Linked DNA regions of Cricetulus griseus. The protein of the gene in region 1 interacts with the protein of each later gene in a biochemical or structural test. Links are inferred from orthologs where the notes say so. Each region holds a gene or a part of one and is shown on either strand. Other genes may lie near its edges.

Region 1 (5,173 bases):
CTGTATTAAAGGGTCACAGCATTAGGAAGGTTGAGAACCACTGCCCTGGAGGAACCACCTCCCCAGATCTCTCCTGAGAGCAGTTAGGATTTGTTCAGTTCTGTATGGCAGGACATTGGGAAGTAGTGGTCAGCAGTAATTCTTTGACCAGCTATTTTTATATTATATCATGGTTTCTTTGGTGGTTTACTTCTTCTTTTAAAATTATTTATTGGTGCCCTGTTAGCCTGGTTGGTTAGAGCATGGGTGCTGATAATAATGTTTATTTATTTGAGACTTGATTCTACTGAAGCCCAGGCTGGCCTTGAATTCACTAAGTAGCAAAGGATGGCCTTAAACTCTTGATCATCTTGCCTTCTGAGTGCTGGGATTACAGGCATATGGCACCATTCCCAGCTGTTTATGTTTCTTGTGGGAAGGCACCTGTATCTTTCTTTCTTTGCCTTCTTAGTTTTTGTGCCAGCTCTCTGTACCTTGCTAGGTTCTCTGTCAAAGGGATGTGTAATGAACACGAGTAAAGGGGAGCAGAGAGCCAGCGAGCAAGGCATTACAGGGGGTCTTCAGTTCATGTGGTGATGATGGGATAGCCATAGGGGCGGCCTGGACTTGAGAGAGGCAGTGGAGAGGACTGCTGGAATGTTGAGAAATAGTTTTTGGATGGGGGTTTATAATTAGTATGGGATGTTCTGGGTCAGTTAAAGTTCATGCAAGTTTTTCATCTAGTAATATATTATTTGTTTGGTTTTACACAAACTTTCAGAGTGGGAGGTAAGCATCTGGGATATACCTGGATTTTGATTGGATTGGATGGGGCTGTAGGTTGGCTCTCTGTTCCTGAGTGTCTGGAAACGGTGAGCTAGGGAGCCCAAGGTCCTGAACATTGAGAGGCTTCTGACCAGAGTACTTACTCCTTTCGGGCAGAAAGGGAATAAGGTGTGTGCTAATGGGGGCGGGGACAGGGCAGTTAGTAGTTTGCCACACCCTCTCTGCTCTTGGGTGTTTGGAAGAGACTGACAGCTTCTAGAGATGGGGGAGGTTGTGACTATTATGGGATGTCCGGCCAGAAGACCTGTGTGAGGTGGTGGAGTGCAGCACAAGTATTACTGGACGTGGCACTCGGTTGTGTTGGCCGTATTATGGTGTCATGGGCTGTCCAAATAGATGGAGTAAATGATGGGACATTGCCCCAGTGTTAGGGGACAGGAGATTTAGACGTCTGTCCATTTGTGGGGTGACAGTAGAGCTGCTGCTGGTCATTAGTGAGTATCTCTTTGATAGGGAGGAACGTAATTTATGGGCCTTGGAGCTAGAAAGACCAGGAAGGCTGGGGGTGGTGATGTGAACATCTAGAACACCCTGAACACCCTGGTGTGCGGGGACTGAGGGCAGCTCTAGGGGGTTGGCTATTATGGGATATCAGTGTAGAAAGTGGGAGACTGATTATTACGGGATGTGTGTGGGAGGAGGCCGAGTGTCCGTTGTAGTGTGGGGTGGGTGAGTTTCTGACAATCATGGGATATCAAACTGGGGGTGGATGAAGGGTGGTTATTATGGGATGTCAGTGGGGGATGGGGTTGAGTATTATGGGATATGAGGCTGAAGTGATGGGAGGGGTGCTTATTATGGGATGGCCAAGGGGAGGGAGGGGTAACGAGTTATTATGGGATGTTAGCAGTAGAGCCAAGAGTGAAGAAGTTGGCAAAGAGTGGTTATTATGGGATATCTGAGGTGGGGAGCAGGTTTAGTTTGTAAAGGTCTGCAGTATATGTCAGTAGCCCCCGGGCACATATATGCATGGAGTGTTGGGGGCGGGGTGTGTGTATGTGGGGTGTCCGTGTGTATTATGGGATGGCCAGGAGGTGGGCGGTTGCCCGGGTGACGCGCGCGCGCGCTCGACGGGGGCGTGGCCAATGGTTGCCTGAGCGACGAGGGGGCGGGGGTTGCCCGGGAGACCTAGGGAGGAGGGTGGCGGTAGTGGAGGGGGGGTTGGAGTTGGTTGAGGTTATTATGGGCTGTCCGTGGGGGGGCGGGGCCTGTGCGGTGGGATTTCCCGGCCGGTGTTTCGGGCCCTTTAAGAGGCGACGCCGGAGCCGGAGCCATTTTCCCCCCTTCGGCCGCGGTGAGGAGGAGCCGGAGCGGGAGTGACACCGGCGAGACCCAGCGCGACCTGAGGCGGCTCTAGGGTGAGGGGAGCGCGAGGCTCCGGGAGAGACGTCTCTCACAGCCCGACATCATCTTGAGGGGTATCGCTTCACCTGTCCCTTCCTCCTCAGGCGTCCCGGGGCCGGCGGGCCGTTCCCGGGCCGGGGAGCCGACCCTGTTCCTCCTCCCCTGAGGCGTCCGGGTTGCCCCCAGGCCGTCGCCCTGCCCTGAGGGAGTCGTGCTCCCCGCGCCCCTCTCCGGGGCTCGGCCTCCCACAATGCCGGGCGCCCGCCCCTCGCCCTTTGCTCGCTGGCCCCCCGGGACACGTGGCCCGGCCCCCTTCTCGGTGGGAGCTCGTCTCCGCCGGCGTCCCGACTCCTCGGGACCCTGGAGCGCCCGAGCCTCCACGCCCCCTGGTCCCCGCCGTTCCGGAAGAGAACCCGAGTTGTCCCAGAGGGACAGCCTTTGGAGAGCTGCCCTGTCTGGGGACTGGCCCCTCCCCGGGCTCAGAGAGGCGCCCCCCCCACTCCCAAGTGACCTTGTGTCCCCGAGCACCGGCCGCCTCCCTGACCCCTCCGCGCCTCGCCCGCCACTCGGACCCCCTCCTCAGGCTCCCCCGGTTCACTCTCGCCCAGCGAGTCCCCACCCCACCGTGCACCAGCCTGACCTCGGGGGCATCGCTCCCTCTTCGTGGGGGCTCCTGCCGGGGAGCCGGCTCGCGGGCGGGCGGTCCCCGAGGAGTGTGGAACTAAGTTCAGCCTGAGTGCTTCGGGTGCTCGGCTGGGGTGGCAGGGCCGGGGAGGGGGGGGCGGAAAGAGCGAGTGGGGGAGGGGGACTGCGCGTCACTCACTGTTCTCCCCCCTCCCCCGCACAGTGACTCGGGCCAGTGTAGAGGGCCCCAGGCCGCAGGCAGGAGCAGCTGGGCCAATTCCCTGGCCGGGGAGCGGAAGGGGATGGCGTCGGGCCTGGGCTCCCCGTCCCCCTGCTCAGCGGGCAGTGAGGAGGAGGATATGGATGCACTTCTGAACAACAGCCTGCCCCCACCCCATCCAGGTAACGTCTTCCCAGAGCGCCCAGGGCAGGAAGTGTTTGATCTTTCCTGGAGACTGGAGTGAGGCTGGGTGTGCGCTTGTCTCCTGCCTGCAGAGCCCAGGGCGGAGGGCATCCGAAGGGAGTGGTTCTCTTCTGCGGAGCTCTTGTGTCTTGGGAGGGGGGAGCCATGCGCCTCCTGGCCACCGCGGACCCAGATGTAAGCTGGCTGTACTCAAGGCTGTCTGGAATACTCCGCAGTTCCCAGTTGAGGGAGCTCTCTGGGCTAGCAGGCATTTACCTTGTGCAGGTTCTTAGGAATGCAGGTGGCTGGGACTCCTGGAGACTGGTGACACGGTGGGGAGCGTTGAGATTTCTGTTGTAGGAGCCCTGCCAGGCATTTGGGATCCCGCAGTTGTTCTCGGGAAAAGAAAGTGGGAGTGTTGGTTGGTTGCTCTCTGTCCGATTATTTTTAGCTTGTAATCAGTTACCGGTTTTCTGCGCAGTTTCAGGAGTGCGAAGTTTGAATCTCGCTCCTTGTCGGATCTAGAGAACTTTTAGCTAGGCAGATTATTGGGATTTTTTTGAGTGAGGAAGGGATGGGGGGACTAGGAGGATGCAGTACCCGAGTAAGGAGAGGCAGAGTGAAGGAAGGGGACTCCTTTTCCCCCGGAGTGGACATAATCCTGGCTTCCTTCCTAGAGGCTTCGGCCACTCCGAAGTAGTTTGGGGTCTGGGTTAGTGGTGTGAGGTGTTTGTGTGGGTGTGTTAGGGTTTGCACTATCGGTGTTTTGGGGTGGCTCCTTGGACTGGCCAAACCCGTAAAGTTATAACCAGCTTGCCCAAGTGCCTGTTCTCAAGTGATGGTTGATGTCATGCTTATAAGTGGATTTCTTCTCTTGTCTCCTTATTCAGAGCCCCGTAGTTGAGACACCTATTGGTTTATTGACTCCCTGTTCACTTAAAAAAATTTTAAATTTAAATTAAAAAAAGCAAGTCCTTCCCTACCATTCTGGAGTCTGGTGGTCTTGATTTTTTTGTTTTTGTTTTTGTGGTTTTTCTATGTAACAGCCCTGGCTGTCCTGGCATCTGCTTTGTAGACCAGCCTGGCCTCGAACTCACAGAGATACAATTGCCTCTGCCTCCTGAGTGCTGGGATTAAATGGTGTCCACCACCATGGCCAGGCCTGTTTTTGTTTTTTATGACATGGTTTTCACTTCTGCCTTTTCCTTAGATCCAACTGGATTTTGAGGTAGCCCAAAGAAATGCTTTTTAAATTAAATTTGCCTTTTTCTTTTCTTTTTTCTTGAGACAGGGCTTCTCTTTGTAGCCCTGGCTGTCCTGGAACTCACTCTGTAGATTAGGCTATCCTCCAACTCACAGAGATGAACCTGCCTCATGAGTATTGGGATTAAAGACGTGTGCTACCACTGCTCAGCAAATGTGACATTTTCTGATTTGAAATTATTTACTTCACAGTCCCAGGCCATTTAAGAGAGCTGTTACCTTTGGCCACTGGGATAAGGGACTTAGATTTGCATCTCATCACTGAGGTGTAAGGCTGCAGATTCCTGTGCCTTTATGGGGTGGTGGTAAGGAAGAAGGCTTACTTTCCTTCATATTCTTTGTGAGGGGCAGGATGAGTAGTGCTGTCCCACCAGTGTTGGTCCTCAGCGTAGCCTTTGGGCTATTATCCCTTTGGTCTAGGGCTTTCCTCCCGAGTTGAGTGTGAGCTATGCAGTCTCTCAGTGTGAACTCTGCCCCACTGTGTAGCTTGACCCAGTTTTTCCACATGACACACCCAATTTGCCCCTTTCCCAAATCTTCCTTTCTGTCTCCTGCAGTGTGTTGCTTGTCATTTCAGCGTGTGATTGCCTGAGGAGTTTGAGGGGTGCATGCGGACGGAGAGGCAGGCATTGCTTTGCCTCCATGTGCTTGTCCTTGTCTCTTCTGCTCTGTAGGCAAAGATGAAGAAGGGTGCAACTGATTGAGGGGTACTGT
Region 2 (5,196 bases), on another chromosome or scaffold:
GGGTTTCTCTTGAAACCCAGCATTAAGTTTTCAATGTCAGGTAGATGGGCAGAAGTTAAGCAGCCACTGCAGAAGTCACTAGAGACAGCACTCTACCTCAGTGTTCAACGTCACAATCCCTCTGGCACTGTTGGGGCTTCGCTGGCCATGTTTGAGCAGGGAACACCACCATTCAGAAGTCATGTAGAGGAGGAGGATGCCAATTTTTCAGCTCCACTTTTGTACTAATTCTGGTGAGATAAACATGCACATCTTTTTTTTTTTTTTAAACCCCTGAATCCAGCACCTTTTGTGCTTCAAAGTAAAGGCAGTGATGAAATCCAGATTCCTTCACACTGCTGTTATGGCTGTATGAAATCTGCTTGTCTAAGGAAAACTAGAGATGAATTTACTTTGCCTATTTAATATTCCCGTTGTCTGTTTCTCCATATCTTGAGTCCTTTGATGAAAGGGCTTGCCCCACCCCTTTTTAAAGAACTTCTGTCTCTTGTTTTTCATTGAGGCATTGATTACACTTTTAAATATATAATACCTGCAGAAAGAAAACAATAGTGTCAGATGAAGGTTTATTCAACTTGCTACCAAACCCTTAGACACGGAGCTGCATATAGTTTGTAAGATTCTTTCAAACTTGTAACTTAAGCAAGTGTAGAGATCACCTATTTTTTTAAAAAGTGGGTGTGGCCAATATATCACAACTTCACTTGCTACTTTTCCATATGCTCTAGGGTAACTACTGTTCATTTAAAGGGGACCTAAGGGTGTTGATGTTGACATGGTGTGTTGGTTGGAGCTGATCTAAAGTGACAAAGCCAACAGTCCATGTATTGTCATGCTGAAATTGGGGGACCACCAGAACTTTTCATCTTTCAGCATCGTGAGTTCGATGGCCTCAACTCTACAAATCCCACTTTTTCTTATTTAAGTCAAGGAGAAATGGCCATCTGATGACTTGGAAGAATGTCTTGAGTCCAAGAAACAGCAGAACTGTAAAGCTGAGCCCTTGTCCACCTGTTATCCCACAGCAACCCACTAGAAGAGCTGACATGGCCCCAGAGCCATGTCATCTCAAGAGAATGTGTGAAGCACGAGGGCATCACACCTCACTTCAGGCTGGAGGCATCAGGCTCAGCCCTCCGCCTTGCCTCTCAGCCTGTGAGAGCACGCTCTGTGAGCACGTGGAGCCTCGGGGCCGCCCGCGCACCCTCCCTCCAGATGTAGTCCAGGCCCAGATGGGCCCGCGCAGGGATCCCCAGCACAGCCACCTGACTGATTGTCGGAGCGTGCTGCGGCCCGCTGCTTGTGCCTCCGCCGGCGGCGCTGCGGCCAGGGGAAGGGAAGGGAAGGGAAGGGAAGGCACCCAGGAGCGCACTGCGGCCATTATCCACGGCGCCTCCTAGCGGCTCAATGGGGAAGCCTCCAAGTTCTCGCGAGAGCTCCCCAGAGTGGGGGTTATATAATCTCCCCAGGCTAGGTTGGGGGTGCTGAAGGCACCCTCCGGCGGGAGCAGTGGGGGTCGGCGCGGCGCGCGGCCGGAGAGCGGTCCCCCGAGGGTCCCGGTGCAGGGGGCCTGGCCCCCCGCCCCCCCAGGAGCTGGACAATGAGTCCTCTTATGCTAATGAGGGGCTTACGTCACTTCCGCTCTTTCTCGGCCGCCATTTTGGCTAGGGCAGGTTCGGGGACTCGCTCTGAGGCGCTTGTATTGTCTGCTGAGGGGAGACGCGGGACCAGCCCCCTCCCCCGCCCGCCGCCGCCGCGCCGCCGGCCCGTCCACCCGCCGCCGCCGCCGGGACCATGAGCTGAGCGCCCGCCCCCGGCCGCCGCCATCTTGGCCCCCTCCCCCTCCGCGCCGCCGCCGCGCCGCGCTCGGGGGGATTTGGCGTCTCCTCAGACACAGCTCCCTCTCTCGGTCCCCGCCGCCGAGGAGCCGCGCGGCTGTGCCGCCCGCCGGCCCGCGACGGTGAAGCCGCGGCCCCACGCCCTCCGCCGCCCTCCGCCCCTCCTTTGTCTGCACTGCCCGCGCCGCCGCCCGCCGCTCTGCTGCGCCCGCCGCGCCCCCGGCAGCAGCCGCGGCCGCGGCTCGAGCCGGAGCCGGAGCCCGAGCGCGACGAGGCCCCGGGCGCGTCCTCGCCGCCATCGCCGTGCCGCCGCCCGCTCGCCGCCGGGCCTCGGAGCACGCCGGCCCCGCGCACGCCTCGAGGCCGAGCCAAGGTAAGCCCGCGGCCCTGCCCTGCCCGGCCCGGCCCGGCCCTGCCGGCCTCCGGTCCCGGGCGCGGTCCTCGTGCTCCGCGCGCACACTGCCCTCCACCGGCCTCTGCCCTCCACCTCCTGCAGCCCGACCCCTCTCCGCCCCGAGAGCCCGCCGGCCGGCCGGCAGGCTGGTGGCATCTTCCCGCACCCACCCCGCCCCCAACAGGACCCCGCTCTCTCGGCCCCCAAACTCATCCCTCGCCCCCTCCCCCCACGCCCGCCCTCGGTCCCCGGAACCAGCCTTCTGCCAGGTCTGCCCACCCTAGGCTGCGGGGGAGGGGAGCGGCCTGGGGGGCGGGGAGTGCATGGCACGGAGGGAAAGTCTTTGCCACCCCGACAACATGCCTGCTTCCCTCCCATCCCAACAAGCACAGCCAGCCCTTCGCCAGCCCGGCTCTCGCTCCCGGCTGCCTGCTCAGCACTACCCTTTAGAGCTTTCTGATACTCAACTTTGCAGTCAGAAAATGGAAATCCAGAAAGCCGCGAAAAGCTTTTTGTCGAATGCAATGAATGGGGAGTAGTTGTGAGCACCCTCTCATTCACCTCTTCTTTCCTCTGGGCTGCCTGTCCTCGTCCTCAGCCACCCACCCACCCCACCCCACCACCTGGATGCCTGTCTGGTAGAAAAGGCGCGATTGCTTCTCTTCCTCTTGTGTCCAAGATCGGGCTTTGAAGTCTAACACCCGTTTTAGCTTCACTCCCTGCCACACACCGCAAGTGTCTTCTCAGTGTTCTTCAGTCACCAACCAGTTCCTCTGGACAGTTCTTGTCATAACCCCATTTCACAGACAAAGGCTTAGGAGGGAAAAAGAACCAAACTGTTTCCTGTGTTAGCCATTTTAATACTGTCCAACCCCAAACGCCCAGTTCCCATCCCTGATGCTTCTTGTGCCTGTGTCTTGAACCTTCAGGATGGGGGGGGGGCCTGTCTCTTGGATAGCTTTGTGCAGTTTCTTTATAAATCTGCATTGTTGCTTCTGGTTTATGGCCATGAAGAAAATACCAGCCCCCACCCAAAATGCACCGCAGCCAACTCGGTTAAAGGCAATGAGTGTTGGAGTCAGTAGGGGGCGCATTCTCTGCACTGGGTAAGGCTGCAGAGGGGGGAAGGGCCCCAGAACTGGAACAGGATGTGCTTAACAGCGCCTTCTACAGACCAATCGAAAATGGGTCCAGCAAGACTTGCACTTAGTTGAGCTGACAGCAACATGGCGAAGGATGAAGTGAGCCTACAGAGAGATTTTTATTTAAGAAAGCCACATCATCGTTTGGAAAGTTTTTACTTGTTCCAAACTGTTCACCCTCAGACTTTGGTTGCTGATCAGTCACCTTCATGCACATCCTTAGGTCATAGGTTCCCTTTCTCAACCTTCAGGTTTGGATGCGTCAACATCTCTTTCCTAGGCCAGATGGTAAAGGGGGTGTTTTAAATCTGAAAGTAATGGGCTTGGGGTATCACTGGTCAGTCCAAATCTCTCCAGCTCTTTTGAGAGTGAAAAGTCATTTTTTTAAGAGGTTTTTATGGGGTGGTGATTTTCATAGCCATGAGAAATGGGTGTCATGATTTGCAAGGCTTTGTTGGTAAACATCAGATCCTTATTGAGTTCTTCATTGTCAAACTTAATAGAGTTGATTGCAAATTTTTGTTGCCTTCCAACTTCAGTCTTCCAGCAGTGTGTTCTGTCGGTAGCCAACTGCCTTTGCAAGTGTTGACACCAGGCTTGGTGTGCACCACTTTCTTAGGGTGTGTGGATTTCCGTAGATTTTACTCCTGTTGTTATTTCCATAGGTGTGAGATGCACAGTACGAAACCTAGGCCCCAGCTTTTACACCGTGATGCACAGGGTTGCACTTTTTGTACTGAGCTGATAGGTGGCCTAGTGGTTATTCCCTGTACTGCCATTTTGAGGATCTGGACTCCGTTCCCTGCCTTGCTCTTTGGACTACATTGTCAATTCACACCGGTGGGTATATCATTTTGGAGGGTGGGTGCTGAAGCATCAGGGAAGCCAGATACTTCCTCCTTGGTCACCACCAAAATGTACCCTTCCAAAATTTCAGCTTAGCCATATTCCTCAAGGAACCAGTTAGAGTTGGTTGCAGTAGTAGAATTCTGAACATGTTAGAAATGTGACTCTTTTAATAGAGAGAATTTTAAAGTTGATGGTGTTATAGTCATTTGCAGTCTGTACTGTTGGGCATAAAGTTTTAAGTAAACTCAAGACTTGCTAAGCTTCTAAGAGCCTTAATTTCTTAACTTGGTTAAAGGGAGTTGGGGGCAATGGGTCATTGATAGAGATCAAGATTAGCCTGGTAGGAGTTCCTGCACTTGTTCTTGCTTGGGAAGATTGACAATGGGTGTTGATACCTGTGGATACTTTATCCTACTATTACAAACATCTTACATAGACATGCCAAGATAAATTTATGGGATGCCAAATGGATGTGTATGATATATAGTTTACCATTTAGTGCTTGAAGATTTTTTTTTTCTTTGTTAGATGGTTGCCACAAGGTAACTTTTTCTGTGTGAAAAGGAGGCACCTTGGTGCCAGTATTGCCCTGAGAGACTGCACTGGATTCACATTTTATGTATTTATATATCTTTAGTATTTACAGAATCCATTATTAAATACAAATAGAATTGTTAGTGATCTTGAAATACTGTATTTGTATTTGTTAGACTTGTAGTTTTGTCCTATATTCTCCTGTTTGGTAGTAGGTTGTTTTTAAGATGATTTTTTTTTTTTTAATGTACATTTGGGATTTTGCCTTTATGTATGTCTGTGAGGATGCCAGATCCCCTGGAACTGGAGTTACAGACAGATGTGAACCGCATGAGGGTGCTGGGAAGTGTGCCAGTTAATCTCATTCTTAAGTAAATAATAAGGTTTGAGTATATGTTTGCGGTTTGCAAATGTGATTTTGTTCATTCTAGTAAATGAA

The links. The genes of interacting proteins can lie anywhere in the genome.
Region 2: the proteins of Chd4 (region 1) and Adnp form a complex in vitro, tested with the Homo sapiens proteins (2 studies listed by BioGRID). The link is inferred for Cricetulus griseus from reciprocal best matches to the Homo sapiens genes CHD4 and ADNP.

The regions. Positions count from the first base shown.
Region 1 is NC_048601.1:21,330,713-21,335,885, reverse strand, and holds the start of Chd4 (chromodomain-helicase-DNA-binding protein 4), read left to right. Parts: upstream 1-2,029; 5' UTR 2,030-2,183; intron 2,184-2,220; exon of another isoform or gene 2,221-2,243; intron 2,244-3,016; 5' UTR 3,017-3,095; coding exon 3,096-3,195; intron 3,196-5,173. UniProt on the Homo sapiens protein: ATP-dependent chromatin-remodeling factor that binds and distorts nucleosomal DNA. Acts as a component of the histone deacetylase NuRD complex which participates in the remodeling of chromatin.
Region 2 is NC_048599.1:11,176,149-11,181,344, forward strand, and holds the start of Adnp (activity-dependent neuroprotector homeobox protein), read left to right. Parts: upstream 1-2,079; 5' UTR 2,080-2,211; intron 2,212-4,073; exon of another isoform or gene 4,074-4,214; intron 4,215-5,196.